Linked DNA regions of Rhinolophus ferrumequinum. The protein of the gene in region 4 interacts with the protein of the main gene of each other region in a pairwise test. Links are inferred from orthologs where the notes say so. Each region holds a gene or a part of one and is shown on either strand. Other genes may lie near its edges. The genes, in order: PRR14, SUV39H1, INCENP and CBX5.

Region 1 (7,722 bases), on a different chromosome or scaffold from region 4:
CGGTAACACAGCTGAGCCAGTAATAGAATTCAATGTATCCTACTTTGAACCCATTATGCTATACAGCTGCTTCTCAATACAGCAATTGCTCAAAAATATCGAAGTAATTAAAATTTTTTTCTTTCCTTTCCCCTTTCCCTTGTGCCCCCTGCCCCTCCCCCCAAGCAAGAGATGGTCTTTTTACTTCCAGAGGTTCACAATGGACCTTCATTCCATAATTAACTCCCTTTACAGATATGAGGCACAGGACTTGTGATGGTCTTATAATTCAATGGAAAGAGCTTAGGCGTTAGGAGTCGGGGAAACTCTTGAGCCCTGCCCCCACCTCTTGGCAGCTGTATAAGGTAAGCACGTTACTTCATCTTGATGGTGTGCGTTTCTTTGTGAAATTGGGGTCATACTATCTACCTTACAGACACTGTCACTGAAGTTTAAAGGAGTTAACCGTACGTGTGGGTCTTATAGTAGGCAGTTAATTCAAGGGAGTTATTATCTGAGGGAGATGGAAGTTGCCTACCAGGAAGAAAGCTGTTGGTTTGTAACCTGGGAAATATCCCAGGTGAAATCTGAAAGTGGTCCTCATACACCAAGGGCAAGGAGAGACCGAAGGCAAGAGGCAGACCAATCCAGATGGGTAGGTTTAATAAGGCAGGTTTAATAAGTCAGAGAACTTATTTACAAGGCTTGTCTTGGGCGACCCCAAGACAAGTGGATCTCTGCCTCCACCTGCCAGAATCTTAAAATTTTATAGAGAGGCCTTAATAGGGTTCAGCCAGGTATCCTGTCCAGGTGGTCTCAACAACACATTACTCTCTCAATGCCGTATCGTTGAAAACAGCTCCCACCGTGGGACTGGCAAGCAGAACATACCCTCCAAGGAGAGGGGAGGCGGTGAGGAGCCTCTCATTGCCTGGGTTTGGTTCGCAGACCAACCAATCATCATGTCCTCTTGATGACCTCCTCCAACAAGATGCTCCTATCTTGAAGCAGTGAGAAAATGCCATACATACATAATCTTATTCTTGGAGAAGTCTTGAAGGTTGGGGGTATGGTCTTCACCTGCTCTTCTTCAGCTCTCATCCCTTGAGGCCATTCAGATATCTCCCATTCCTAAATCCCTGGCGCCCCCACCCCTTACTCTCCTAGGCTGACTAACCTAGACTTCCGGAAGATATCTCTGGATTTGGATCTAAGAACTGAGACCCAAGCTCTTTTGGCTGCTTCTTAATATGTATCTGGATTTATTTGTTTGTTTATTTTACCACTGAGGGTGGTTCTGCTGATGCTTAATCAGAGCTTGTAGCCAGGAAAAATACTTGAGACCTTTGAGAAAGACGTGAGGCCACTTCTAACTCACTCATTTGGGTGATGTCCTGTGAGAGCTAAAAAGGGCCCTGCACTTCATGAACAGTAGTGAAACATTATTGGGTACTGCCTGTACCAATACTGCTTGTATTGAGAGGCTAATCAGCAACTAGGCTGCTAGAGAAGCACCAGCCACACTCTGGGAAGAGGCAAGGCCATGCACCTCGGGTGCAAATCCAAGGTAGAGTTTGCAGAAAACTCAGCTCCAGTCAAGGCAACATTCATGGAGTCTGCAGTGGGGGATTAACACAGACTTGGATGGAGATTTCGGGTTCAAAGGCGTCAGGGCATCGTTGAGTGCCAGGCCCTGGTTCTCTGTCTCAGGGTGAGGCACCTGCTCTGGCACTGGTATCTCTATCTCCCAAGGTTTCTTGACTTCTATGTTTCCTTCCCCTTGTTTACTGATGGAAAAGAGGGAGAATTTCAGGGTTGTAACCAGTTTTAGTCCATGAGGCTTTTCACAGTTCTTGGAGGGGTGAGGATGAGGGCCATGGGAAAATTCAAAGATGTGAGTCAGAGTTCCCCTGGATAGTTGATTTAAAGAGGTCCCCAAGTCCCCATACCTGGCTCATAGTTCTATCGAATCCTGGGCCCACTGACCCCTCACCAAGAGTCCCTCTTGTCCATGGGGATTGATAAAATGCCTCAGTTAGGGGCATTGCTATGCTCCTGTGAAAGGTCTTCCCCCCACACTCCTTGCTAACAACAGGAAACCTCTAGGAACTCCCTCGGATCAGCCCAGAAAAAAACCAGGATTCTGAGATCCTCAACCTGTGGAGAGAGCTACTGAGCAGAGCAGCTCTCGTAGGGACCGGAAGGCACAGGATACTCATACAGAAGAAGGGGGAGTTATCATCCTCTTTCTACCTGTAGCCTGAGACTTATTTATCAGGCACACTCAGCTGTGTCTCCTCAGTTGATCTTGACCTTCCAAGTCTATTTTGAGATAGGCATGACAGGGTGTATTGCTCTCATTTTACAAATGAAATCACCAAGGCCAGGGAACAGTTAAGCAGGTGGGAGACCCAGAGTCTAAAGGGGCCCAGAGTTTCTGAAGAATGAGGTGCCCTAACACCAGCCTCCAGCCACATCACCAGCTGGAGGCCGTGTGGGGCCTCTGGCCACTGGGTTAGCACACACTGGCCATGCCCTAGGGTGTGTACACAGGTGGGTAAGGTAGTAGTTGTTGAAATGGTAGTCACAGAGGACAGAGTAAGACCGTGAAGCTATGAAGGCTTGCAGTTGCTGGCCTGGACTGAGGCCAGACACCAACTTGGTGTCTAGAACTTCAATTTGATGAACTCCAGCATCCGTTTGGATCTCAGGGCTGAGCGCTCCCTACCAGATTCTCAGGCCCAGGCCCTTTCTTTAGACTACTTCCTTTGCCCTTGGTATTGAGTTCTTCAGGAGACCTAGAGAATTGAAACTCAGATCAGGCACGCTTTGCCCTTGAAAGCTTTTCTCTCCTTGGGGCCTGGGAAGCACCTGTGTGTTTAAGCAATTAAGTGAGAGCCTACATAGCGCCTCTCAACACACTGAGGTTGAAAAGGGTCTCCAAGCATTCAAGGCTGGATGCGCCATACCCCAAGGAACGTCCTGAGGCTCGATGCAGCCAGCCCTGATCCAGGGGAGAGAAGTCACCTCTATCTGAAAGAGCTACCTACCGCTTGCGTCCTCCAGAAGACTCATCATGGGGTTCCATAAGACCCAGCAGGCTTTGGGTTACAGAGTAGCTGTAGTCCTGGGAGAGCTACCCTGATGGGTCTCCAGTGTTGGGGAGGTTTCGCTTTCCACACCTACTCTTACTGATTCTGCTCTTTCCATATCATCCTTTCTGTGCCATTTCTTTTATCACTCAACCCTCTAATAGACAATCATGCAGAGCAGGGTAGGTCACTCTGTACCTTCATATCAGATCAAGAATTCTAGGCTTCAGGCTCTCTTGCATTAAGAAAATAAGGACTGGGCCAGCCTGGTGGCTCAGGTGGTTAGAGCTCCATGCTCCTAACTCCAAAGGCTGCCGGTTCGATTCCCACATGGGCCAGTGGGCTCTCAACCACAAGGTTGCCGGTTCAACTCCTCCAGTCCTGCAAGGGATGGTGGGCTGCGCCCCCTGCAACTAGAGAAGGCAACTGGACCTAGAGCACAACTACGATTGAAAGGACAACAACTTGGAAAAAAGTCCTGGAAGTACACACTGTTCCCAAATAAAGTCCTATTCCTCTTCCCCCCAAAAAAAAATATCTTAAAAAAAAAAAAAGAAAAGAATAGAAGGACTGGTTTGGACCAGGGACTCCCAGGGAAGGAGAACTAATGGAGGCACGGGCTTTGGTTGGGCAGTGAAGGCGCCTTCACCACGCAAGAGGCCAGGACATACCCACTTCCTTCCCACCAACAGCCCTGCTCCCGATAAAAATGCCAAGCTCCAGGATTCCATCCCTGGCCCGTAACTACTAAGGACTATTTACACGCCCACCAGGCTGGCCTCTCTTGAAAGAGGGCTCGTGGGAACGTGGAACAGAGAAGAAAGCGAGCACGCCAAGTTGGTTATTGGTTTCCTGCAATGACGCCCCTATATTGAGCCCTCTGCACCCGCCGCAGAAACTCCCACTCCTCCAAGAAGAAGTGCACAACACTCGGGTAAAGGGAAACTCGGCGCCCCCACTTTGCCTCAGCTCAGCCTCTCCAGGACACCGCGCGAGCGACGGGGTCGGGAGGGGCACTCCCCTAGTCCGGCCCTCGCCACCCTCTCCCTAACTGTTCGCTGCGACGTGGGTACCCGGTTGAGGAACCCGGGGTGGTACCGGAACCGGCCTCGATGGGGCCTCTCTAGGAAATTGGGAATTTCACCTATCGTTAGCGCTCAGTTCTTGTTGATTGGCCTAAAAGCTAAAGAACCGGAAGATGCCCTTAAAAAACGTGGCGACACTCTAGCTTCGCTACAGTTATCTCAGTAGCTCGAGAAACTTGGCATAGTCTTCGGCCGCTGCCTGGCCTTAGAAGGTGACGCCACCCGGTCCATTTCCGTGCCTTGAGGACGGCGCTATCTGCCCTCAACTATCATGGTGGCACAGCCCAATTGGGCGGTTTGCCCCTAGGGATGATGGCTGCCAGGAGGCTTCACTTCATTTCTCACCACCCAGGAAGACGCGGGCCGCCGATTGGACGCAGTCCGGAGGCTCCGAGAAGAAGGCCTTCAGCGGTTGGGCAGTGTTGGGAAAGGCTGGTTTTAAAGGAGCCGCAGGTGGGAGCCGTCGAAGACCCGGGATCCGCGGGAGGCGGCGGTGAGCGGCGCGCGGGGGAGGGAACCGAGCGGCTGGAGAGAGGGCGGGAGGAGGGAGGGAAGGAGTCGTTTGAACCATCTGTTCCCGGGCTGGGGAGAGCCCTGGGCGGGGATCCTGGGAGGGCAGAGGGAGGGGGTCTGTGGGCGGGACCTCCCGGGATTGGAGTGGAGGGCTATCCGCTTGACAGTGGATCCCCGGGGATCCGGACTGAGTTCGCGTTGCTCAAGCTCGGTCTTCCCCTGGCTGAGCGGAGCTTTACGGAGCCGAAGCTCACAGGGAGAGGAGGATCCTCGTGCGGCGTCTGATTGGCGGAACCGCGCTGGAGGATTCTTTCCTCTTGGATCCAGTCTAGGGGATCTGGCGGGAGGGGGAAGTCGTCGGCGTGTGGGAATATTGCTTCAGAGCCCTTGGTCGCTCGCTGGGAGTGGATGAGGATCGCGGAGGGATCTGGTGGAAACTGAGCCTTCCAGGACCGGGATCCTAGCTGATCCCGGGGAATCTCAGGGCGGAATCTGCAGGGACAAAGGCCCCAGGAGGCTCCGGCCGTGGCAGAACTGGGGCTGCTGCAATCCAGGTTTTCCTGGCAAGTGCCCAGAAGTGCGCGAGTGATCCGCTGATCGCGGCGGCGGCGGCAGCGGCTGTGGGAAGACACCCGCTCCGGACGGCCGACCGAGGGCGCCCTTTCGCGCCCCAGGTCTCCGGCCCGTGGGCTACCGGGAGCTGCGGGTGGACCATGAAGGGCAGAGCCCCAGGGGAAGGGCTGGCCCTCACTCCCCACTCCTCCGCTCCCCACCCTACCCCAGGCTGCAGCCTGGGATCCCCCAGGGACTCCCCGAAGCTGCCGCTTCCCCCATGGACTTGCCCGGGGACTCCAGGTGAGAGTGCACCCCGCCAGCCTGTCGTGAGCCCGGGAAACGGGGAGCCTGGCGGCCGTACAGGGGAACCACAGAGCCAACGACAGGCTTGGGCAACCGTCCTCTGCTTCTCTCATCCTCCAGCCCGCCTGGCCAGCCACGTCTATGCCGCCAGCCCCTGGCTCGAGCATTATGGGGAGCCAGAAGCCCGAAACGGGCGAGGCTGCAGCCCGTGGTGGCCCCTTCACCCTTGGAAAAGGCCTCTCGGCGGGTCCTGGCCGTGGTGCTGGAAGATGTCATGGCTGCCCATATGGTGAGCCCCCCGAACTGAGAAGCCCCTTTCTCAACCCAGTTCCTCCTCAGTACCAATTAGGCCAGATCACTAATGAGGATAATTGACTTCCAAACACTTCATTCTCACACCCGTCGCCCAGCCGGCCTCCATAATGCTAACGTTCTGCTTGGCTCTCTTAGTCCCTCCTCAAATTGGGCGGGGTCTCCAGTGCCCATTCCCCACGGCCAAGCCAGTGGGGCTGGAACCTCGTCCCTACTACTCTGGAAATACGAGAAACGCTTCTGCTTGCTTCCCAGCCCAACTTTTAGGCAATCCTTGGGAAGCAGACCGAGGTCATTGGCTCCATTGTACAGATAGCAAAACTGAAGTCCCAAACAGGGCTGTGACTCACCCAAAGTCACCTTCTTTTCACACTCCAAACAGCGTGGGTGAGATGATCCAGGTCCCACAGCTGCAGCTCACAACACTAATATCTGACCCCCAATTCAGTTTGACTCACCTCTTTGGGGATCTTGAGTGAATTCTAGCCACAACCTCTGTCACCTTTGTGGCCTAGGACACTTAGGCACAGGGAGATCCTGTCCAGTCCAACTCATTCCCTCATCTTACTCTTGACACCTTGTCTCCTAGGCCCCCCTAGTGCCAGGAGAGGAGACCTCCACCCCACGGCACCCCGCCAACTGTCAGGATTCTGTCCGAAACCAGCCGCCTGCCTTGCCACCCCAAAAAGCCATATGGTTGTCCCAGGCCAGGTGAGCATGGCAGGATTTGGGGGGCAGCTGGGGACACAGCAGAGCCCCTCTGATCTGTGTGTTCCCTCTCCAGGCCTCCCGACCCCCTGCACTTATGCCGAGAGCCCTTGAGCCACATCCATCGGTCTCCTTCCACTCTGAGGTGTCGATCACAGCCAACCCCTGGCCCAGACGAGGGCCCTTCACGAGCGGTGGACGGGGGCCCCCAGCCCACTCTGGTGGTGATGCTAGAAGACATTGCCAGCCCCAGACCCCCAGCTGAGGTATGGGAACTTCGGGTGAGGATGGCAGGGGTGCAGCTGGGGGCAGGCACTCAGCGGGTGTAGGAGACAGGTAGGAGGATTGAGTCCTGGGTGGCCTTTGCTCAGAGCCAGGAGGACAGCAGGTTAGGCAGAAGACACTGCTGGAGCAAAGACCTGTATGAAAAAGTCTGTGGTGTGAGCCCAGGCGGGCATCTGAAGACAGAGACAGTCGGGATGTGGGAAGCTAGGGAGGTCAGCGGGGCTTCCCTGCCTCCCCACAAATACCCCCTTTTTACATCCAGGGCTTCGCCGACAAGGCTCCCAACTTCATCGTCCCAGCCAGAAGGTGAGACGGCTGGGGAAGGAATTATTAAGATGTCCAGGCAACAACCATTGTCTAGGCAGCCAGAGCTAAGGGCCTCAGAATGGACTTGTCCAGTTGTTTCTTGTAGCACCTTCAGAAGGCTTAAGGGACAGGGGAGGTGCTGGCTCAGGTCGGATCTGGACCTGGAAGCTCCCCCAGCCTTTATCTTATCCCTTCACTCCAGAGCTGAGTCCGTGACGATGGTGAACCAGCCAATGCCTCCGCCCAGGGACCTGGAACCCCCATTCCAGCCATCTTCCTTGCCTGCAGACCCTCTGGAGAACCCATCGCCAGGTAAGGACTCAGAGACACGGAGGAGACTTGAGGCTCTGGAAAATCCTAGCTGAGCTTCTAAGTGTCAGGTGCAGAGGTGGGGGTGGGGCCTAATCCCCTCCTAGGGTGGAGCTTGGTGTGTAAAGATGGGGTTTAGACTTCAGAGGCCTGATGCGCACCTCCTAAAGATAGGGCTTAGTTTTTCAGGAGTGGGCTTATTCCTCTGTGGGCGGCGTAGTGTTTAGGGGAGGAGCTGAGGCTGCTGAAGTGGGGCTTAGACGCCTGCAGTGAGG
Region 2 (7,584 bases), on a different chromosome or scaffold from region 4:
CCTTTGTGTGACAATAATATCCTAACTAACCACACATTTTTTACAATAAATACTAACTTCAACTCCCACTAGAAGCTGGACCCCAATAATAATCCCTATCTTGTCCCAAACAGGAACCCTAACTCTCCCTCCTCTGAGGAGGCCCCATCCTCATCCAACACATGGGTCCCAGATCTGATTTCCTAGCAGGAGACCTCAGCCCCCCAGGGCCCTGAGTCCTGATCTCCCGGGCCCTAGGAAACCCCTTCCCCCAGGGCTCTCGAGCCCTCCTGCTCATCCTGAATTCCACTCTTTCTGTCTCCCTCCAGACGAAGGGGAGGACCAGGCCGGAGATGATGATGAGGACGATGAATGGGATGACTGAGTCACCACCATCCCCACCTGTTCTGCGCGCCCTCACCTAGCAGCCCCTGCTTGCTGCTTTCCTCTCTTGGCTTCCAGGCTCCCAAGGTGTATTTCTTCCCCATCAATCCTTTCAATGCTATTACCTCTGACTGGCCCCCACACTCACCCTAGTGGCCCTTTTTATACAAAATAACCAGGGCCCTTTTTATACAAAATTTCTCCTCACTCAAGGATTTTTAAACAAAAATAAAATAGCTGTCTTTCTGTTTCTCTAAATCTCCGTTTGTATACATTCCACATGTGGGAATTTGGGGTCCTTTTCACCCAAGGTCCCTTTTACTCATCTATCCCATTTCATTTACTTAGCCATACACGTATACAATCCATTCATTCATTTGTTCTCTCGGTCATTTTAGCCTTTGTTTCCTTCTGCCCTTCTTTCTTTCCATAAACATTTATTCCCAGGCACTACTTTAGAGACTGGGGATAAAGCATTGGAAAAAAAATGACTAAAATTCTTGCCCTAGTGGGACCAACATTCTGGGGATGGACATTTTAGGGGAGGAGACAGAAAAGAAAGAAAGAATCAGATGGAAACCAAAGATAGTTACAGATCATAAGTACTACATGCTGAGGAGAAATGACATTTAGATAACAGTACTCAGGGAAAGCCAGTTGGAGGAGTAACAGTTATGCTGGACCTAAAGAGAGAGGAGTCAACTAGGGGAATACTTGGGGGAAGGGCATTCCAGACACAGTGAACAGCTAGTGCAAAGGCCCTGAGGTGGGGAAAAGCTTGGCATGAGCCAGGTGTGGTGAATGAGTGAGAGTTATTTATTCATTCACTTACATATTTTTAAAAAACCATTTAATCAACACAATACTAGATCAAGAGAGTACTAGGTGGTCAGACTTCCCCACTCTCCATGTACATAACAACTCACCCAGGATCCTGATGGGCAGAATCCCCCTCTCAATATTAAAATTTGGTTCTGCCCAGTCCCCAGTGCAAACCAAGTCTTAGCCAATGACAATGGAAGAGGCAAAAACTTACTAATCAGATAGATCTGCTCTAGAACCCAGGCAAGATGCCTCACCTCTGAGCCTCAGTTTCCTCATCTATACAATGGGGGTAACAATATGTAACAGATTTCCAGCTTGGATCCCACTGGGTCTCCCCTTCTCCTCCTCCAGGACTTGCTCTCCAGAAAAAAAAGGAGCAACTCAAAACTGTCCCTGGTGTTTAAAGCTATTTCCAAGGGAGTAATGACAAACTCCTGTACATTAAAACCTAGGATTCGCGGTGCCTACTCCTTCCCATTTCTGAACCTGGCGGATTGAAGATCTCAGGTAGCCTAACTTTAGAGGAGGAGGAGGTGAGAGGGGAGAAAGATAAAGGTGAGGAGGAATCCAGAGAGGGCAGGCTTCTTCCACCTGCGAGATGGAAGGTGCGGGTTGGAGGGTTAGGGGAAGAAAAGAAAAAGCCAGGTGGTGGGGGCAGCTGGGGTGGTGAGGTCGGAGATGTGGCTTTGCCCCATAAGAATTCCCCTAAAGCTGGGGAAGCTGGAGGAGGGAGTCTCAGGTTCCCTTTAATTCTTTCATTATTCCTCACCCTTCACTCAACTTCCCACCCATCCCGTCCAAGTCTCCAAGGTGAGCATTGAGTCTAGGAAGGTCCTGTCATATCACTTACCCCCACCCCACCCTTCTGGCAAAGCCCTAGAAATCAGTGTTCGAGGACCCCTTAGGCAGGCTTTGTCCTAGAAAACTTTACAGCACACAACTTTTGAATCCCCAGGAGCACCAGCTAGAGCAGGCACAGACCTGGGGTAAAAGAATTGACTGTGGGCAAGTTGCTTGACCTCTCTGGGCCTGTTTCCTCAGTCCTTAAAATGAGGATAGAAAAACTTACTTCACCAGCTGTGGCCAGAATTAAAATGGATGGTATCTGCTAAGTGCCTAGCTCCTTGTAGGCATCTATATATAAACATTAGTTGCTGCTGCTGTTGTTATTCCTGGGTGTCACTGATCCTGAGTCACCACTGATTATAAAATGCACCATTATTTTCTGTATCACTAAGAAAGACAAAAAGTACTGCCAATTAAATTATGACACACCAGTGCATGAGAGATGCAGCCTGATTTTAGAGATGTTAAAAAACAAATTAAATGCTTCTGGCGCCCTGGCTGGCGATGACGTTCCTTAACCTGCATTCTGGTTCCACATGTATGTTTGCTGCTGAAAAGGCACAGAGCAGGCACAGACCTGGGGTAAAAGGCACAGACATGGGGTCACTCCACTGGTCACACATGGTCTGTGTACTCTCTGTATGTGTGCTATACTCCAATATGGGATTTACAACAAAAATAGGTCAAATTTGTGTGGCATGTAATGAATAAAACCCTGTATTGGCCCCAGCACTGGGCAAGGAAATATACACACTAGGCAGTAATTAACACTAAACAAACAGACACATGGTTGGGAGTAGGACACAGTAATAACAGTGTGGCCTCTTTTGAGGTATCCTGAAAGGTGCTAGTCTTTTTGAAAGATTCATTTACCAGGTTAGCAGGAGATACCCACTCCAAGGTCACTCATCTGAGGTTTTTTAGATGAAGAAACTACCTAAGGTCACACAATTTAGTAAATGGTAGAGTTGGGATTTGAACCCAGGTCATGGGGCTAGTAGAATCTAGGCATTTATGCGATATTCTTATACTATTTGGGGGAGGTCCAAGGGAATGCTCCCCAAAGACCCCCACATCACCTCTCCAGATTCAGACAGAAAGAGGTCATGCTTTAAACCATTCTCATGGGTTGGGCAGGCCTCCTGGACTCCTCAGAGTGGGAGGGTCCTGCCTGTCTGGAAAGACTAGGGGCATTTGATGACCGGCATCTGACTCTCTTCTAGGAGGAATAAAGGAGGGAAGGGGAATCCATGGTGGGACTTATGCTGTTGACTGTTCCATTCATGGCAAGCAGGAGCTGATGGAACCTTTCATTTCTCCAAGCAGCTCACAGCTGGACTGGCAGGCAGACAGAATAACCATTTGGTTAACTGTATAACCATTTGGTTGACTACATAACTTGTGGGCCAACAGGGAGAGGGGCAGTTTGAGGAATTGACAGTGTGGTTTCCCTATGCTGTGCGGTACTGAATATCTAACTGAATTACAGCCTGCCTTGGACTGGCTGGGGCTGGTGGTCCAACAGTGTAGAAGACGGGAAGTTTCCTGAGGGACTGACATGCTGGCTGACTGCTGACACATGGTGTTGTTGCCCACCTGGGTAGTGGGACGCCGTGAATGGATGACTACTGCTAGGAATCACACCCCGCTCAAGGGAGTGTTTGGATGTTACGCTGCCTGGCAATGTGTAAAGGAGGGCTATCCTGAGGGGATTTCAGGCTGACCCATGGACAGGTCTGTGGCTGTCTGATAGGCACCTGTCTCTGGTGACTGACTATCCGCCCTGACCAAATCACAGCACGCTTGACAGACCAAGTACTCAGTCGGTGAGAATGGCTACCTGGCTGATGGACAATATGATGAGGGGCAGACTGAACGAGTCACAGGCTGGCTGACCAACAGAAAGATCAGCGTAGCTGCCTGACTCGATGGCTGTATGAGGTTAGAATCACAACTGCCCGGATGGGTCAGAGGATACTGACTGTCCAATGGAGGGCATGCCTCCCTGAGAAAGTACAGACTGCTGACCCACTGACAGGTGGCGTGGAGGCTTAATGTTACCTTTAGTTGCTGTGACTATTTTCTCTGAGGGAATCACTGCCTGATCATAGTGGGAACGAGGGCAGAATGACAGTCATTGACAACTAACAGTGGATAGTGTGACTGCCTGACAGAGCTACGTGAGATGCTGACAATGCCAGCCAGCCTGGTCAGACCTAATCGCAGCCTGCCTGCAGGCATGGCTGGTGGTTAGGGATGCCTGAGCCGGGTGTGAGATAACTTCCCTAGGGGGATTCAGAGCAGATGCCAGGCAAGGATAGACGGAGAGACTGATGTTTGAGTGACTGCCAGTGTGAAGAAGACACAATCTCAGGCAATGACAGAGTGGCTGACTAGCAGTGTAGCTGTTAGTAAGCACTGTATGTCGGCCTCAAAGGACTTGCCGCTGGCCCGAGAGCACGGATGGCTGTTGCTGGTGACTGACGGTATGAAAGGGGGCGGGGTCTGACTAGACAGTTGTGGTGGCTGACCCATTGTGTGATCTGAGTGGGAGCTGATTTGAGACTGAGTAGCAGTCTGGGGCCATAGTTCACCCGGGAGGAGAGTCACGGCCTGCTCGGGGTTAACATGTGGTGACGGGCTGCCTGACGGTGATAATTGGGGCTCTGACAGCACAGAGGATCCCCCCCACGTCTGGCTGACTGACAACGGGATTGGCTGACAGCGTGACAGACAGGCTGGTGGACAGTCAGAGCCTCCAGCTACCTCCGCCGCCGCCACCGCCCAGACGCACGCTGGGAAAACGCCGGCGAGCACCCGCCTTCGAGACCGAGCAGAGTGGCGGGAGGGGTCCGGTCACGGCTTGCCGGTTGGTCCGCGGGGGCGCTGCTCGCGGTACGGCACGGCCAATAGGCTGCGCGTTCTCGGCCACGCCCGCGCGAGCTCTCTTCTCGCGAGGCCGGTTAGGCCCGAATGTCGTTAGCCGTGGGGAAAGATGGCGGAAAATTTAAAAGGTGAAGCAGTGGTGGCAGCGGCGCGGGCCCGGTGGCCGGACCGGGTGGGCTGGAGGGGTCGCGTCGCCGGCTCGGGGCCCTGGCGTCCGAAGCCACGGATCTGAAAGCCCGGCGCCGAAAGGCTGGGGCTCTGGGAGCGCGGGCCTGGCGCGCGCGGGGCTGGGCGGGGCTGAGGGGAGGGGGCGCGTGCTTCGGAAGGCGGTGGGCGCGGGACGAAGTGGGGACTCGGGAAGGGGGCGCGCGCCTCACATCGCGACCGGACGGCGCGCGCACGCGCGGGGGCTTGTAGGGGAGGCCGCGCCCGCGCGCGGGAAAATCAGCCGTCGGTGACCGTTACCCGCTTGGTGTCCACGCGAGACGCCGGAAGGGGACGGACCTCCTTTTCAGAGTGGGGGGACAGGGGAACCTTGGGGGGGGAGAGTATTTCCTCTTAGCCTGATGGGGGAAGGGTCTACAATAGAGAGGACTCCCCCAGGAAGATGGGCAGGGGGCTTCCCGAATGGGAGAGCTGGACTCCCTCGTGTGCAGGGGAAAAGGGGTGACTTTGTCAGTATGTTGGGGGGTGGGCTCCTCTGGGTGAGGAAAGCTGCGGGAATAATGGGTTCCACAAGTGTGAGGGGGACCTCTGCGGGGTAGGAGAGTCCACCTGTGGTCAGTGGGGCACCAGCAGCTGGAGATGTGAGCTGGGACCACTTTAGTGGGGTTTCAAATGCAAGTTAAGGGGTTTGAAAGGGAGAGACGTCACAGGGAGAGGAAAGCGTGGGCACAGGCCGAATCTCCACTAGGCCTGCCTCAGTGTGTGGGGGGAGTGCACACGAAATAATTTTGCAAAGCTCTTGTACATTTTTAGACTGACATCTAGAGCATTTCGTCATGAGTTTAAATGTTTGATTTTTGTAATGGGAGGTAGAAAATACTAACAGGATGAGGACTGACTACATTGGAATAAGTGTTCTGTGAAATGATCTCATAAAATGGCTTCTAAAGCACATTAAGAATGTGCCTTGAATCTTTGAATCAGAAGGCTTTAAACAAAAAAATCTGTCTTGAAAATTTTTGGTAACCCCAGAAATATTTCAGGTATGATTAAAAGCATTATTGTCCCTAACCTATTACTGTTTTGCTTATTTCTGAATTCCTTTGGGCAAGCTTTACCCTTCACAGAAATGTGGATGAGACAGAGAAAGTCAAAATGCAATGTGAAAAAATATACTGTGTGGGTTTAAGGCACCCCGACTAATCCTTAAGGAGGCTTCCTGTAATCTAATACCACTCCACAATCTTATTCATAATTCTGAAATCCAAAAAGCATTGAAAACTAAAGTTTGGCACCATTCAGTGGAAAAACTAGACTGTAAGGTGGAACTATTCAGCGCAGCTATCTTGCATCTTTATTTCTCCTATTTAGTGTGAAAATTCAGACTCTTGCTTCAGAATTATTAAAGTGCTTGATTATGGCTTGAAGCCCCTGACCACACTGAGGGTGTTAGGTAATATATGGGAAATACCTGAACTACACTTGTAAACAAACAAACAAACAATTTCAAAACACATCTGGCCTCAGGGATTTTAGATCAGGGATTGTGGACCAGTCTTTCCCGTAGGTTTGTTGCCCTGGAAGTTTTAACGCCATCCCATCTAGGCCCTTGGGCCACTGCACCCTACTGAGGGGGTGGAGGGGTGGTTCTTTTGCAAAGTGTGGAGGAGGAGGATTAGGTCCTGAACCTTAGGCAGGTTTTCAGGCAGGTTTAGGAACGGTATAGAGGGAGTTGGAAGCTCTGGGAATAAATTCCTTTAGGACAATCCATGCAGCAGGTCCTCCCTTGGGTCTGCCGCCAGGAGTAGCCTTGGACAGTGAGCCTTGCGGTTGAAGGTAGTGACACATTTTTGTAGTATATAAAGGTCTTAGCGTTGGGAAGGCCTGTGGATTAAATTTCACTGACTCTGAGGCAGTCCTTTGGAAGTGCCAGGAAGGATTTGGGGTACCCTTTGACCCCTGGGCTCGCCAGGATGCCCAGTAATTGTTCTTCTGGCCCCCTTGTTTTAGGCTGTAGTGTGTGTTGCAAGTCTTCTTGGAATCAGCTACAGGACCTGTGCCGCTTGGCCAAGCTCTCCTGCCCTGCTCTCGGCATCTCCAAGAGGAATTTCTATGACTTTGAAGTCGAGTACCTGTGCGATTACAAGAAGATCCGCGTGAGTCTGGGGTGACCGTGGCTGGGGCTGGGGGTGTCTCAAGGAAGCTGGCTTCCTGCCCCCTTACCCCCCACTGCCTGCATCTGTTTCCGAAGGGAATTTTCTCTGTCTGTCTTAGTTTCCGGTGTATCAAACAACACAGTGATTAGACATTTACACCCCTTATAAAGTGATAACCCCGACAAGACCACTACCCATCTTGACACTGTACATAGCTATGACAATACCGTTGACTGTATCGCCTATGCTGTAGTTTATATCCCGGGACTATACATATGTATATATTTTTATTTATAGTTGACATTCAATATTATTTTATATTAGTTTCAAGTGTACAATGCAG
Region 3 (7,599 bases), on a different chromosome or scaffold from region 4:
TCTTAGAAGATTCCACTTCAGGTTGTACTGAATTCCTGTTTACTCAACTTCTTTGAAAATATGCTTGCCTATAGTTGTTTCATACAGACTATTTATAGAGGCTAATTCCTCAGTCACGTCAACCTCAGCATGCATTCCTCAAATAAACAATAACTAGCAGTATTGGTGACATCTGACAATGCATAAGAGCCAGGCAAAACCACTAAAAATCATTTGACTTGTTTTTTAATCAACTATTATACTTGTTTACTAGGGCTGCTGTAAAAAATTACCACAAACTTTGTAGTCTAAACCAACAGAAATAAATTCTCTCATAGTTTTAGAGTCCAGAAATCTGAAATCAAGGTGTCAGCAAGGCTGCATTCACCATCGAGGCTCTAAGGGAGAACCCGTTTTTTGCCTCTTCCAGCTTCTGGTGTTTGCTGGCTTCCTTGGTTTGTGGTCACATCACTCCAACCTCTGCCTCCATCTTCATTGAGAGCCATTTTTTTTTGGCCTGGCATAACTGCTGATATTGCTCCCAATGCCCTCAAGTCTTTGAGCAACTGTTCTCACCACAAGGCTAATATTTTTAAATAAGTTTATTTTCTTTGCTGCAATTAAACACGATTTAATTAATTCACCCAAGTTAGTTTTCCTTGCTTGGTTAACAAATGAGGCACTAGGAAACTTACTTTGGTTGCAGCCAAATATTCATTTTTTAGTTTTATGAAAAAATTCTGCTGTGATGAGATATAATGCTTTAAATTTTCTATTTTTCTGATCATTGCTGATCATATGGAATATTCACTCCAATCATTGGGAATATTATGATGAGTGCTGAAATAATGCTGATGTGTACTGTGCTATTTTAGCACAGCTTACTGTCATTACATAATAAACACAATGCTTTGCCATCTAACTGGATAACAAAATAATTCACACTTTGCTGTGTCTTAAAAGCACAACATTCTAAATCCAGTTTTTTTTTTTGTTTTGGCATGAAAGGTATGCATTGGTAATTCTTAAAAAATGTGGTACAATTATATGTGTGGTACTTGAAATGATGCTGAGTTATAACGCAACACTGTAACTTGTAATGTGCCAAGCAGCAGTGCAAAGCGAGACTGAAGCTGGTTATGACAGTGTTGCTGGTAGTCTGTACAATCCTTCTTAAGAATTTTATGGAGCCCTTGAGGGTGGCCTTTGTGCATCAAAAAGGTGATTCAGGAGTGACTGTTTTCTTAATATATTCAATTTATTAAATCATAAATATGAACCAAACAGAAATTCTGGAGCTGAAAAATACAATGACTGAAATGAAATGTGCAGAAAATAGCCTTAGCAGCTAAGAAAGAATCTGCTAACTTGAAGACACGTTATTTGAAATTATCCAGTCAGAGGAGGAAAACAAATTAAAAAGAGGGAAGAAAACCCATGGTATTTATAGAACATCACTAAAAGAACCAATGTATGCATTATAGGAGTCTCAGAGAGTAGAGAGAGAAAGGGGCTAAAAGCTTATTTAAAGAAATAATGGCTTAAATCTTCCCAAATCTTGGTATGGAAATGAACATCCAAATTCATGAAGCTCAAAAAATCCTAAGTAGGATCAATCTAAAAAGACTACATCAAGATGCATTATAATCATTGTCAAAAGTCAAGGACAACAGAGAATTTTAAGAGCAGCAAGAGAAAAGTGACATCACATACAAGGGAATACCCATAAAACTATCAGCAGATTTGTCAGCAGAAAACTTGCAGGCCAGGGGAGAATTGTATGATATATTCAAAGTATTGAAAGAAAAAATAAAGACCATATGTGAAAATCCCATAGCTAACATTATAATCAATGGGAAAAACTGAAAGCTTTCTCTCCAGGATTCAGTACAAGGCATGGATGCCCACTCTTGCCACTTCTTTTCAACATAGTATTGGGAAGTGCTATCCTGAGCAATTAGACACACACACACACAAAAATCCAACTCAGAAAGGAAGGAGTAATTTTATCTCTGTAGATGATATGATAATATATGTAGGAAACACTAGAGATTAAAAAAGAAAACAACAAAACTGTTAGAACTAGTAAACAAATTCAGTAAAGTTGCAGGGTACAAAATCAACATAAAAAAAAAAATCAGGGACATTTCTATACACAATGAACTACCTGAAAAGGAAATTAAGAAAGCAATACTATTCAAACAACTATTATAGCAACAAAAAGAATAAAATATTTAGGAAAAACTTAACCAAAGAGGTGAAAGACTTGCACACTGAAAATCATAAAACATTGATGATGAGAATTTAAGAAAACACAAGTAGGGGCAGCTGGTTAGCTCAGTTGGTTAGAGGGCCGTGCTCTTAACAACAAGGTTGCTGGTTCGATCCCCACATGCCAATGTGGGCTGTGCCCTCCACAACTAGATTGAGACAACTGCTTGACTTGGAGCTGATGGGTCCTGGGAAAACGCACTTAAATAAATAAAAGAAAAGAAAAGAAAAGAAAAAGAAGACACAAACAAATGGAAAGGCATCTGGTGCTCATGGATTGGAAAACTTAATATTGTTAAAATGTATATATGACCCAAAGTGATCTACAGATTTAATGCTATCCCTACCAAAATCCCAATGTCATTCTCTACAGAAATAGAAAAAAACAATGCTAAAATTCATCAGGAACCTCAAAAGACCCCAAATAGCAAAAGCAATCTTGAGCAAAAACAACAAAGCTGGAGGCCTCACACTTCCTGATTTCAAAATAGATTTCAAGGCCACTGAAATAAAAAATCATGGTATTGGCATAAAAACAGACACATAGACCCATGGAACAGAGTAGAGAGCGCAGAAATAAGCAATCAACTAATCTTTGATGAGGACACCAAGAATACACAGTGGGGAAAGGATAGTCTGTTCAATAAATGGTGCTGGGAAAACTGGATAACCACATGCAAAAGAATGAAACTGGACTTCTATTTTACACCGCTCACAAAAACTAACTCAAAATAGATTAAAGACTTAAATATAAGACCTGAAACTAAAACTCTTAAAAGAAAACATAGGGGAAAAGCTCCTTGACATAGGTCTTGGCAATATTTCTTGGAAATGACATCAAAAGCACAGGTAACAAAATAAAAAGTAGACAAATGGGGTTATCCAACTTTAAAACTTCTGCACAGCAAAGCAAAGAATCAACAGAGTGAAAACACAACCTACAGAATGGGAAAAAATATTTGCAAACCATGTATCTGATAAGGGGTTAAAATCCAAAATAGATTAAAAAAACAAAAAACTCCTACAACTCAATCACAAAAACAAAAAATAACCAAATAACATGACACAAGAATGGGCAAAGGACTTTTTCTTTATTCATCTATTGACCGGCATTTAGGTTTCTTCACCTCTTGGCTATTATGAATAATGCTGCAATGAGCATGGGTGTGCAAATACCTCTTGGAGAGACTAAACTGCTTTTTACACGTGATGGCAACCTTGACTCACAGAGTAAAGTGATTGCCTGAAGCCGGGTTTCTCAAGAGCAGTGATACTGGCATTCTGGGCCGGATAAGTCTTTGCTGTATGAACTGTCCTGTGCCCTGTAGGGTTTTCCGCAGCATGCCTGGACTCTACCCACTAGACGCCAATAGCAACCCCCCCGCCCCAACAAAATGTGGTCATTCATCACCAAATATGGGGTAGGGGTGGGGCGCAAAATCGCTACTCCAAACAAATACTCGGGATCAGTACAGGGGGCAATCCTGGTTGGTGCCGCCCAAGAGATGAGGTAGGGTTCTACTAAAATACAAACTCCGGCGCGACTTACAATGCGTTTCCTTTTTACTTCTCAAAAGTGGCAGAAGTCGTAAGGATGTCATCCTGTATGGAGCACAAATGTGGGTGAAGTAACAGCACAGCTGAAGACTCGCAGGAAAAGTCTGACCTCCAAGTCTACGATTCCCGCCCCAAGGACGCGCCTCCCACGCCCCGCGGGGCCTTCGCAATGCACGCTGGGGCTTGTGGTTCCGGCGTGAGAGGGCCTGCGCGCGCACCCCGCCTGCCTGCCCCCCCCGCTCCCCCCGCCCCCCCCGCCCACCCGCGACAACCTCCAGGCTGCGGGCTGCGGCTCCCGGAAGCTGAGCAAGTTAAAGTTTCAACGCTTCCTTTCCCCGCTTCTTATTCCCGCAGACTGCCAATCCAAGCAGCCAATAGGGGGCCTGACTAGAGCTTCTTTTTACCTGATTGGCTTAGAGTTTTGCAGCCGCCCAGACAAACTTGCCGGGGATTGGTCAAGCCTTCAGTTTTGAAAATCGTAGGTTTCGCCCGCGCTGTGAGGCCCCATTGCTTCCCAGGAACCGTGAGTCCCGGAGTTCGGAAGCTGAGGATCTGGGTGGGTGGGGGGTTCTGCTAGAGAGGCGGCCGGACTTGGATCAGAGCAGCACTTAGGAGACGCGGTGCAGTCGAGTGAGTGCGCTCGGGCGGCCGGCGGGGGTGGGGGATGGTTAGCTATTTGTTACCCCTCTCGACAACCCCGGACCGTGGGCGCGACCCCCCGACCCCACTTTCGGCCTGGGAATGGACAGGTCACCACTGCCACGAGTCGAGGTGAACAGCCTTGGCCCTGGAGCCTAAGATGCTCTTCCACTTAGGTCCCCAGGTTCCGAGAGAATAACCTCGTCCCCTCCCGGTGCCTACCCCCTTTGTACCTAGAAGGCCCTTTGTTGACCTGGACGCGCAGGAAGCGCACACCGACCGTGTTGTGTGATGGAATTATGCCAAGTGGCATTTCTGTACAGTTAACCCTCGCCCAACACCTCCCCCTCCAGCTGAGCAGCGTTTTAAACTGACCATTTGCAGAGGCCAGTGCTGCCCCTTATCCTGTCACTCCGCAAGCAGTTCGCTGTCAGCATTCAGTTCTGTTCAGTCACTGTGGCCTTCTCTGGGGGGGTGCCCAGAGTCAAAACTTGGCGCCGGCCTTTCTGAGGCTGAAATCGAGTAGGCAGCTTAGCTTGTGGTTAAGAGGACCGTTTAAGTCTCGGCCCCAGGTTGACTTTGAGTTACCGTCTCTTTGCCTCAGTTTCCTCATATGCACATGGGTATCCTTGAGGTTGTGGTGAGAATTAAATGTTGCCTGGCCTGGGCATGGAGTAGGACTCGGTAAAGGGGAGCGGCTATTATGACCATTCTACACTGGGGTGTGGTAGAGGTTAGGTGCCCAACTTCCTGCATCCTTAAAAGAACAGGCGTTGCAAAAAACGGCAGTGGGGCCTCTAGTCTGATGTACGGTGGGAGGGAAGTATTGGGAGAGACAGATGAGCTCCCTCCTCTCTTGGTGGGATGTTGGGTGCTTGGGGTTTGTGCACAGGTTCTTACATGGGCCTCAGTCTTGGTACACTGGTTGCTCCTTTGTCAGGGTCACCTTTGTCCTAACTTTGGGGACCCCTTTTAAAGCTGAGGTCATCTTCCCTGTGGAAGAAGCCCAAACACTTTTTTTTTTGCACTTGACGAAAGAAGCTCTCACTCACTTTGCCGTTTTGAACAAATACTTAATAAAACCCCACACGACTGCTTTCTGTAGCTCCTCTTCGAACCTTTGTTTTGGTTTTGGCTTCCTTAATCCGTTGTCTCTTTCTTGGCCTCAAACTGGGGTCCTGCACTTTGCCAAGGCTGAGCTCTGGGGCAGAGGGGCTGGAGGGAGCCAGAGGAATGGCAGCAGAGAGGCCATGCCCATGAGTGAGTGGCTGGCTGCAGAGCTGTCGCTGTCCAAAGCCTCTGCAGTCCTGCCCATGGGCCCTGCCGTGGTTAGTGCTGCTCTTGGCATCTAGGAGCAGGACGAGTGTGGTGTGCCCTAACCTGTGTAGAAGGAGCTTATTTGGTGTCCCTGTGTGTGGGGGTGGGGTGGGGGAGTACCTGTAGGATGCTTATTTCTAGTGTAGAGTTGATAGGTGGATTAATTCATTCAACCAGTATTTCTTTCGTGCCAGGTACTGTGCAGCTACAAGCAAGACAGGCAAGGGCTTCCTCAGGGAGCACATGTTTAGGGGGCAGAGATAGGCAGTAAGCAAACACCCAAGTGCCGTACAGAGAATTGGAATGGATGAATGGGATCATGGTGGGTGGTCAGGGCCTCCCTGAGTTGCTGAGATCCAAGTGACGAGGAGCGAGCTGTACAAAATAGGAGACAGAAGATTCCAGACAGGGCAGCGCTCGTTCAAGGAACAAAAGTGGTGCACCCTGGAAATCAGACCCCAGGAAGTCTCAGGAGACTGCATCCTGGCCTGGTGTTAAGCTCTATCGGGTGTCAAGGGGTGACTTAGCCCTTCCAGGAGCTTCCGTCTTTGGTGGGAGGCTGAACTTTGTGTGGTTCTTGGTTTAGAAGGGGTGGTAGGTGATTGCCATGGCACGAGACGTGCAGTCTTATTATGAGTTATGACCTTCAGCCATTCACTTGTTCTTTCATTCATCCACCCAGTCGGAATCTTAACCGCGACCCTGCTGTGGCTGTAATGGAACGCTTCTTCCTTGCCTGAGGCTTTGGTGATGATAGTATAACCAGGTCTTAAGGAGGATACCTGAGCTGCATGTTTTTCAGACATTAAGAGAAAACTCGTTTTGTATTTACCCCTACCCAATGTTTATAGATGAGTTTTCTTAAAAATAAGACATTGCTTATCCGTTCCCCTCACATTTACTCATCTATTTCTAGGGCGTGTCAGCTCAAGGGAGAGGATTGTGGGGTCCCCTCGGACAGGAGCATGTCTCCCCTACTTTCTTACTGACTCCTTTGGAACGCAGAACCCCTTCCGTTCACTGGCCTCTTGAAGAGGCAGTTGGATTCGATGTTCTTTGGCCTGAGGCCTGGGGTCAGCTTGTATGTAGCTCAGGGTAGTTGTAAGTCCTTGGTTACCCACAGGGAGGAAGAGGAGAGTCCACGGGAGAGTAAGAGCAGGAGAGTAAGGAAGGCAGTTGGCCATGCCTTGTCATTTTGAGCCTCAGAAAAGGCCATTTGTAAGGAGGACGGTTGATACCAGAATTGGGTGGGAGGTGTGGACTTACGGGGACAGCGTGCTGTGAGTGGGTAGAGGGAAGACGTTTGAAGAGTGTGAGTAGAATTCTTCTCTTATGGGCCCTTATTTTCGCAAAAATGAGGCTAATGGATTGGTACTTGGAACTCTGCATCTCTGGGGAATGGCTATGGACCGGGCTGGCCCTGATTCAGGCACTGGGGGTTTTGTGGCGATAGGGGATGGGTGCTATGGCGTGGCAGGCTCTTCTCCTGGAGAAGGTTCCAGTCCCCAGCCCTGAGCCCTTGTCCCTCTTATCTCTACTCTCACCAGACAGAGCCACCATGGGGACATCAGCCCCTGGGCCCATTCACCTGCTGGAGCTGTGTGACCAGAAGCTCATGGAGTTTATCTGCAATGTGGACAATAAGGACTTAGTGTGGCTCGAGGAGATTGAGGAAGAGGCTGAGCGCATGTTCACCAGGTGAGGGTGGAGGCGTTGGCGGGCCCCTGGCTGCTGTGGCCTTGGGGACACAGCAGTCTACTTCCCCACCTGACAGGCAAGTCAGACAGCTAGGCTGCCAGGGGTCTCTCCTGAGTGCCCAGTGTGCTAGGGGCCCAA
Region 4 (7,487 bases):
CTCACCTACCACCCAGATAGAAGCTTTCTACTGATTGGTTTTCAGTGAAGGTGTGTTATTTTCTCTTTCAGGTTTGGCTGCAATAGTATGCCTCTAAGATCTAAGCACAGGTGCTTGAAATTTAATTTTTGTAACTCAGGCTCAACATTTTGTCGTGTTAACAACCAAACCAGGTTCTACAAAGGCAATGAAAAAAGTCTGAAGTTAGACAACGTGATAGTCTCAGAGTTTCAATGAAAAATTACCCACTAAAATTTACCCACCAGAGAAATGTTCATCATGCCTATTATGACATTTTAAGAGAATTCACAGTAAAACAAGCAATTTTTACTTGCACACCACAATAAACCAAGAACTCTATGTTCAAAGCCTGAAATCTTTCAAATGAAAATATATCAGACATCAAATAAGGGTTCACTGATTAATTTGTTTATAAATCCAAGTAGCTGGGGCCAAAGATGGGAGGAATAATCTCACACAGAGAATAATCTAAGGCGGCATAATTTAGTTACCTATTCTTTAGACCAGTTGTTTTTCTTTTTTCACTAAACTGTGGATCTGTACAGAGCTGTGAAATCAGTTCAGCAGAAAATGACCTGTATTTTTAAAAAAAGGAAATAGTGTACTGTAGATGCAAAAATGTCAAGAGTGCTTTGCACATTTATTTGTACAGTGAAACTTGTTTCAATGTGTGTACAGGGTCAATATAAAATATATTTTTTATTAAGGGTCAACATCTAAAAAGGTTTGAGACATTGATCCAAAAGAATCCCAATAAAGGGCGGCCCGGTGGCTCAGGCGGTTAGAGCTCCATGCTCCTAACTCCAAAGGCTGCCAGTTCGATTCCCACATGGGCCAGTGGGCTCTCAACCACAAGGTTGCCAGTTCAATTCCTCCAGTCCCGCAAGGGACGGTGGGCAGCGCCCCCTGCAACTAAGATTGAACACGGCACCTTGAGCTGAGCTGCCGTTGAGCTCCCGAATGACTCGGTTGGAGTGCATCCTCTCAACCACAAGGTTGCCGGTTCGACTCCCACCAGGGATGGTGGACTGCACCCCCTGCAACTAGCAACAGCAACTGGACCTGGAGCTGAGCTGCGCCCTCCACAACTAAGACTGAAAGGAAACAACTTGAAGCTGAAAGGCACACTCCACAACTAAGATTGAAAGGACAACAACTTGACTTGGAAAAAAAAAAAAAGAAAGTCCTGGAAGTACACACTGTTCCCCATAAAGTCCTGTTCCCCTTCTCCAATAAAATCTAAAAAAAAAAGAAAGAAAAAAAAGAATCCCAATAAAGGAAAGAGGCTTAACTCAGGTGAAAATGTAAGAAGCATCTGAGGCAAGTATATCTTTTTAAAAAAACGTATTTGCCATTATTTTAGAAAGCCAAACAGAAGATGCAATCAAACATGTTTAAATAGTAAACACCTTAATGAAATTTTCCTTCTATCCAATGGAACACTATATCTGAAGAGATAATCATTAGGATTTAGTAATCCATTTACTAAAAACCACCTCCTAAACACATCACCACCCATCTTCTCCCTCTAATTTCCAATTGGTAAAAGATTTTGACAAAATAATCAACTCTAGCATGTCAGTTTAGATCAATGGTTTTCAACTGGGGATTATTTTGCCCAAACACCCAACCCCCAGGACATCTGGCAGTGTCAGGAGACATTTTGATTGTCAAAAATGGGGGTGAGAGGTGAGATGCATTTGCAGGAAATGTCAATAGTGCTGAAGTTAAGAAACCCTGTAGATCAAGACTATTCTTTTCAAACCTATATCCTTTTAATTCTTAAAAATTAAGGAGCCGCATTTTGAGCATACCTACAAATACTTTATAAACAACGTGAAATAGGTTTGTCCTTTGGGAAGTGCCAGAGAACATGGAAATCTCTCTGTTCATATCTCAACTAAAATCACCTTTTATAAGTCAGAAATGTTCTCTAACCATAAGGATACTTCATATGCAATTGAACTCACGGCAGTATTCAAAGATTTTTTTCCCTTGACTCTAAATAAATACATCAGTGAGTAAAGCAGTATATATTCTGATACAGCCAAAATGTAATGAAAATTTCTGTATTTTAGTAAAAATCTTGGAATAAGCAGAATGGGCATTACCAACAGGGAATGGACTGCATCTAAAAATAAACACTTTTAAGGAAATATAATCAAAAGGCAATGAACTAACCCAGGTGATGGATGAGCCCTTCTGTCCCCAACACCCTAAATCAACAGACTTTAATTTTAATCACAAATTATTATTATCCCTGCAAAGATTTAAACATTAGAGATCTAATCTGCCTCAATGCCACTGTATTCCTGGGGGTAACACACTTTGGTCTGTAGCTTTCCAAAACTTTTTCTATGGACTTACAAATATCGAGTTGTATGTGGAAATATGTATTATTACGTAGATATTCCTCAGGCACCTTTTCAAGACAGTACAATCTCTATTTGTTCTAACATTTCAAGTCGGTCTTCCTAAAGAAGCTAGTTCTCAAAGTCAAAAGACCTTCTTCCTTGCTCCCCCCAAAACCTATGGTGGATGGTGGGATGTACTGATGTGTGTGTGTTGGAGGGGGCGGGGGGATGCCCAACTCGACGTACACAGGAGCAAACGTATCGTTTCCATACCAGGGAGGCTTATGCGATGGAGGCCTAAAGGCTTCGTTAGAAAAGTCATAGTGGATAAAATATCCATCCCGAAGCGCCATCACAGGCATTGAATCCCTTTCCTCATCAACACAAATCCAGCACCTCCGTCTTTTGGAGCGCTGATTGGACGACCCGGGAGAGCGCTCTCAGTAGGTTGTCCTCCTACTGGCTCCAGATTTGGTCCATCCATTTTACCGCCCAACTCCCGCATTTCCCATTGGAGTCAAACCGCTGCCTCTTAGAGGAGCCCAACCTACCGCGCGCTTCGTGCTCATTGGCTTAGTGAGACGCTGCTCAGAAGGGGAAAACCCGCCTCCCACATTCCGATGGCCCAAGGACCGATCAGTCGGCAGCTAAAGGCAGACCCAATTGGCCTATACACTCGCCAGTCAAACTCTTAGACGGCAAAGCTCCACAGAACTTACAGGGATAAAACATCCCGCCCCTGTTCTTCCATTGGTTGGCCGGACCCACCGCTCCCCCTCCGCTAGCCCCCACCCCGCGGTCCATTCATTTCACACAATAACGGGCCCATTTGGAGTCGGTTCAAGACCTCGTATGGGTAGGCAAGACTGTCCGCCACTTACCCGGGATCGAGACCGATCACTCACGCTAATGTCTTCCCTGTTCTTCTGTGGTGAGGCCGGACCACAAGCCACAGCTGCCGCCGCCTTCTGCGCAACGCCAACCGCCCGCCAAAACGGATCCTTCCCTGCGCCTGCGCGACCAATCCTGGGACCAGACCTTTTTCTCCGCCCATTACGCCTGCGCAAAACGAGGCACAACTCCCGCCACAACGCAGGCGCTGTAGGTTCGCCGCCGTCTCCCGCCCGCCATTTCACGTGTTCCAAGAGTCAAGCGGAACTTCTTATTGCGCCTGCGTAAACTCGCCATTTTACTACACATGCGCTCAGCAGGCGGTTGTTGCAAACAATAAAATTAATATGCTATTTTTTAATACACTGCATTAATCATAAATTGACAACTGAATAGAATGTAATATTCGGGGCGTGGAGAGCCAAAAAGTTATTCAAATACCTTCAGGATGTTCAAATATGAATGATTGGTTGGCTAGCCAATCACACTAGTCAGGAGTAACATTACACGGGAACCAATGGACTCCAAGGGGTGGAGACTACGTAGAACGCCCAAACGGATGACGTTACACAGCAATGCGGCACCACAGTCCAATAGTAGCAGGAAGCTATTTCAAATATCCAGTCAGAGCTACTCAGGGGCGGAGTCTACCAATGCCGTAAGCGAGGAGGCGGGATAAAACAGCGAGGCCGAAGGTAGGCTGGCAGATACGTTCGTTAGATCACTCCTTTCTGTCGGTGGACGCCGCCGAGTAAGCATCGTTAAAGTCACCCCTCCCGCGGTCGTCATGTCTAAGTCAGAGGTAAGATGCTCTGTCCAACTTAATTTTCTTCCTCGCTCCTTTCTGAGTTGGGTTGGATGCGGCCTGGATTGGTTGTTTGCGCCAGCCCATTCGGCAGTTCTTCGGTCACTGCCAGGGCCTACCCCTCCCGAAGTTCAGGTCGCCATTTTGTCCTCGTCGTCGCCATGAGGCCGCCGTTCTGCAACCCTTAGTTATCACGCCGGGTTTGGTCCTCCTGGTAAAACTCTTAGGCACAGTGAACGATTTTTATCTCGTCTCAGTGGGCGAGTTTTTTTTTTTTTAAGCAGCTGTGGTCCCTTATTGGCGATGCACTCCTCCCGCCCAGACCTTTTGTTGGCGCGTGCGTCGGAGGGATTGTAGGGGCGCATGCGCTCGCCGTTTCCCAGCCCCCAACATAGAGCCTCCCCAATGGGGAGAAGCACGTGGCTTGCTGCGACCCTCTGGAACAATAAGTGCTATGTACGTTGCTGTCTCGTTTCTCTTAATTGGAAGATGTTTTGCGATACAGACCGACATAACGCTTTCCCTCCCCCCCCACTCTTAGTCTCCCAAAGAGCCTGAACAGCTGCGGAAGCTCTTCATCGGAGGTTTGAGCTTTGAAACAACCGATGAGAGTCTGAGGAGCCATTTTGAGCAATGGGGAACGCTCACAGACTGTGTGGTAAGACCTGGAAGAGACAAAAGAGCACTGGAACTAGTTGATTTCATTGGCTTATCTTGTTATACTTACTGTCCGAATGCTTTTGAAGATTGCTAACAGGATTATAGTTGGAAGTAACTTGGCAAGGGAAGGTGAGGCTTTAACTGATTAAGATGTAAATAGATTTGTTAGATGGGTAAGATTAAGTTGAAGGGCTTTGTATGAGGGCTAGTATAAAGTTTCCTGCTACCTTATCCAAGGTAGAAATGACAGTAGTTCTTGGAGTCTTAATATGTGTTAAATGAATTAATATCTCAGGTGATGAGAGACCCAAACACCAAACGCTCCAGAGGCTTTGGGTTTGTCACCTATGCCACTGTGGAGGAGGTGGACGCAGCCATGAATGCAAGGCCACACAAGGTGGATGGAAGAGTTGTGGAACCAAAGAGGGCTGTCTCAAGAGAAGTAAGTGTTTTTTCTTTCCGTTAGTCATATAGAAGTGTGCTACTAGGTGGATGTTACGTTCAGGGATGTTGGCAAACTTTAATACTGATTTTGCTGATGTAAGTCACTTAATTGGATTTTTCCTTTAGGATTCTCAAAGACCTGGTGCCCACTTAACTGTGAAAAAGATTTTTGTCGGTGGTATTAAAGAAGACACTGAAGAGCATCACCTAAGAGATTATTTTGAACAGTATGGGAAAATTGAAGTGATAGAAATCATGACTGACCGAGGCAGTGGCAAGAAGAGAGGCTTTGCTTTTGTAACCTTTGATGACCATGACTCTGTAGACAAGATTGTCAGTGAGTATCAGATGACTGGTATTTACCAAGGGGTTTGAAATCCATATCTTTCTCTAAACCCTGAGAATTGTCCCTTTTCATTGTTGAAATTTTTTAGTTCAGAAATACCATACTGTGAATGGCCACAACTGTGAAGTAAGGAAAGCCCTATCTAAACAAGAGATGGCTAGTGCTTCATCCAGTCAAAGAGGTGGGTTTGTTGCTTTTAGTTAAACCTTAAATAAAGGTAACTGAGCAATTACAATCTGTGGTTTAACACTTATCTCTTCTTAAGGTCGAAGTGGTTCTGGAAACTTCGGTGGTGGTCGAGGAGGTGGCTTTGGTGGGAATGACAACTTTGGTCGTGGAGGAAACTTCAGTGGTCGAGGTACATGTGGTTCTGCTTTATTGGGAATTAAGGGTAAGCTTGTGATGTAATTACCTGCCTGACTTGTGCTTTTTACAACCTGCAGCTCTATGTAACTACTGACTGGCATTTCTAAAGTTACAGTTTTATCCAAATGTAGTTCTGGTTTCTGCTAATCAGAAGTTAAAATCTTTGGTGTGGAAATCATTTTAGTAGTACAGGAACTGCTCCCTGAAGTAGACTTGAAAGGCTATAATTATATGTGATGCACGTACTCCGAACCTGCTTTAAAACTCCACTTTCTTCCAGGTGGCTTTGGAGGCAGTCGTGGAGGAGGAGGATATGGTGGCAGTGGGGATGGCTATAATGGATTTGGTAATGATGGTACGTTTGTGTGGTTTTTGTTTCTTTAGGAATACATGGGTGGAAAGTTTGTGGTAACCTATAGTCTATACTAGGTTAGTAGAGACTAAAACTAGTGCATGACAAGCTGAACTCTGACTATAACAGCATGTGACCAGGCTGTTACCCATTATGCTTAAACAGATTTTGATTGTTGAATACTTTTGTCTTATTGAGAAGAATTGTATTCTTGTAGGTGGTTATGGAGGAGGCGGCCCTGGTTACTCTGGAGGAAGCAGAGGCTATGGAAGTGGTGGACAGGGTTATGGAAACCAGGGCAGTGGCTATGGCGGGAGTGGCAGCTATGACAGCTATAACAACGGAGGAGGCGGAGGCGGCTTTGGCGGTGGTAGTGGTAGGTATCCAGTGATCCAGGTACTTGGTGCAGTAGCTAGATTAGCCTTGTAGAATTTGTGCCCGTATGGGGATTTGGTGCTCTTAAAGCATTATGTGGTACGCTGCATGGTATTTTTTAATGGACTTGCTGTGCTACCTCCTCCTGGCTTTAAGCTGGGGCCGCCTCACTCCCAAATAGATGAATAAATGGATAGTGGCATCTTCAGCTGGAATCAGATTAGCTTCTAGCAGCATTTAGTATCTTTGGGACTTTAGGCACTTAGTTGATGTATCCAGCATGTTTGCAGTGCCCCTGAATGGGTAAAGGCCTTCAAAGGCTAGAGAATGTTCTGTGTCGTGGTGAGTTGGGTAAATTTTTTAAAATACTGGATTATTCAACTGAATGCCTTGCCAAGAAAGGATGAAATACAATCAAGCATTGGAGCCATCAGTTTGGGAGGAAGGCAGGCAGGTCATGTGACTTCCACTCTGAACGCTAGAATTCAGAACAGTTGTCTTTGTTAAGTAACAGATAAAGGACCTCTTTCCATTCCTAGGAAGCAATTTTGGAGGTGGTGGAAGCTACAACGATTTTGGCAATTACAACAATCAATCTTCAAATTTTGGACCCATGAAAGGAGGGAACTTTGGAGGCAGAAGCTCTGGCCCCTATGGTGGTGGAGGTCAATACTTTGCCAAACCACGAAACCAAGGTATAATAGGTGTTTATAGTATTGGAAGGCTTAGTGTACCTATAACAAATGAGTAAAGAATATATTAAGTATTTAGGTGATACTGCGTAGGCAATCAAAAGCTGACAATTTGAAGATTTCAGGATACTATAGTGACTTGTATTTTGCAATCAAACTGAAAAGCTTAAATTCTCAAGTT

Evidence for each region.
Region 1: the proteins of CBX5 (region 4) and PRR14 interact in binary tests that used the Homo sapiens proteins (3 or more experiments, as listed by UniProt). The two-hybrid records come from large-scale screens. The link is inferred for Rhinolophus ferrumequinum from reciprocal best matches to the Homo sapiens genes CBX5 and PRR14.
Region 2: the proteins of CBX5 (region 4) and SUV39H1 interact in binary tests that used the Homo sapiens proteins (3 or more experiments, as listed by UniProt). The link is inferred for Rhinolophus ferrumequinum from reciprocal best matches to the Homo sapiens genes CBX5 and SUV39H1.
Region 3: the proteins of CBX5 (region 4) and INCENP interact in binary tests that used the Homo sapiens proteins (3 or more experiments, as listed by UniProt). The link is inferred for Rhinolophus ferrumequinum from reciprocal best matches to the Homo sapiens genes CBX5 and INCENP.

Annotation. Positions count from the first base shown.
Region 1 is NW_022680357.1:608,937-616,658, reverse strand, and holds the start of PRR14 (proline-rich protein 14), read left to right. Parts: upstream 1-4,499; 5' UTR 4,500-4,649; intron 4,650-5,452; 5' UTR 5,453-5,501; coding exon 5,502-5,524; intron 5,525-5,647; coding exon 5,648-5,816; intron 5,817-6,428; coding exon 6,429-6,550; intron 6,551-6,623; coding exon 6,624-6,813; intron 6,814-7,094; coding exon 7,095-7,138; intron 7,139-7,340; coding exon 7,341-7,450; intron 7,451-7,722. UniProt on the Homo sapiens protein: Functions in tethering peripheral heterochromatin to the nuclear lamina during interphase, possibly through the interaction with heterochromatin protein CBX5/HP1 alpha. Might play a role in reattaching heterochromatin to the nuclear lamina at mitotic exit.
Region 2 is NC_046284.1:85,898,886-85,906,469, reverse strand, and holds the start of SUV39H1 (histone-lysine N-methyltransferase SUV39H1), read left to right. Parts: upstream 1-4,305; 5' UTR 4,306-4,411; coding exon 4,412-4,520; intron 4,521-4,821; exon of another isoform or gene 4,822-5,029; coding exon of another isoform or gene 5,030-5,048; intron 5,049-7,095; coding exon 7,096-7,241; intron 7,242-7,584. Other genes in the region: actin nucleation-promoting factor WAS, read left to right, coding at 309-364. UniProt on the Homo sapiens protein: Histone methyltransferase that specifically trimethylates 'Lys-9' of histone H3 using monomethylated H3 'Lys-9' as substrate. Also weakly methylates histone H1 (in vitro).
Region 3 is NC_046294.1:8,945,832-8,953,430, reverse strand, and holds the start of INCENP (inner centromere protein), read left to right. Parts: upstream 1-4,291; 5' UTR 4,292-4,437; intron 4,438-7,310; 5' UTR 7,311-7,321; coding exon 7,322-7,461; intron 7,462-7,599. UniProt on the Homo sapiens protein: Component of the chromosomal passenger complex (CPC), a complex that acts as a key regulator of mitosis.
Region 4 is NC_046293.1:54,025,447-54,032,933, forward strand, and holds the start of CBX5 (chromobox protein homolog 5), read right to left. Parts: upstream 3,414-7,487; 5' UTR 3,257-3,413; intron 1-3,256. Other genes in the region: HNRNPA1 (heterogeneous nuclear ribonucleoprotein A1), read left to right, coding at 4,054-4,068, 4,613-4,729, 5,027-5,173, 5,302-5,512, 5,610-5,702, 5,787-5,879, 6,168-6,242, 6,457-6,615 and 1 more. UniProt on the Homo sapiens protein: Component of heterochromatin that recognizes and binds histone H3 tails methylated at 'Lys-9' (H3K9me), leading to epigenetic repression. In contrast, it is excluded from chromatin when 'Tyr-41' of histone H3 is phosphorylated (H3Y41ph).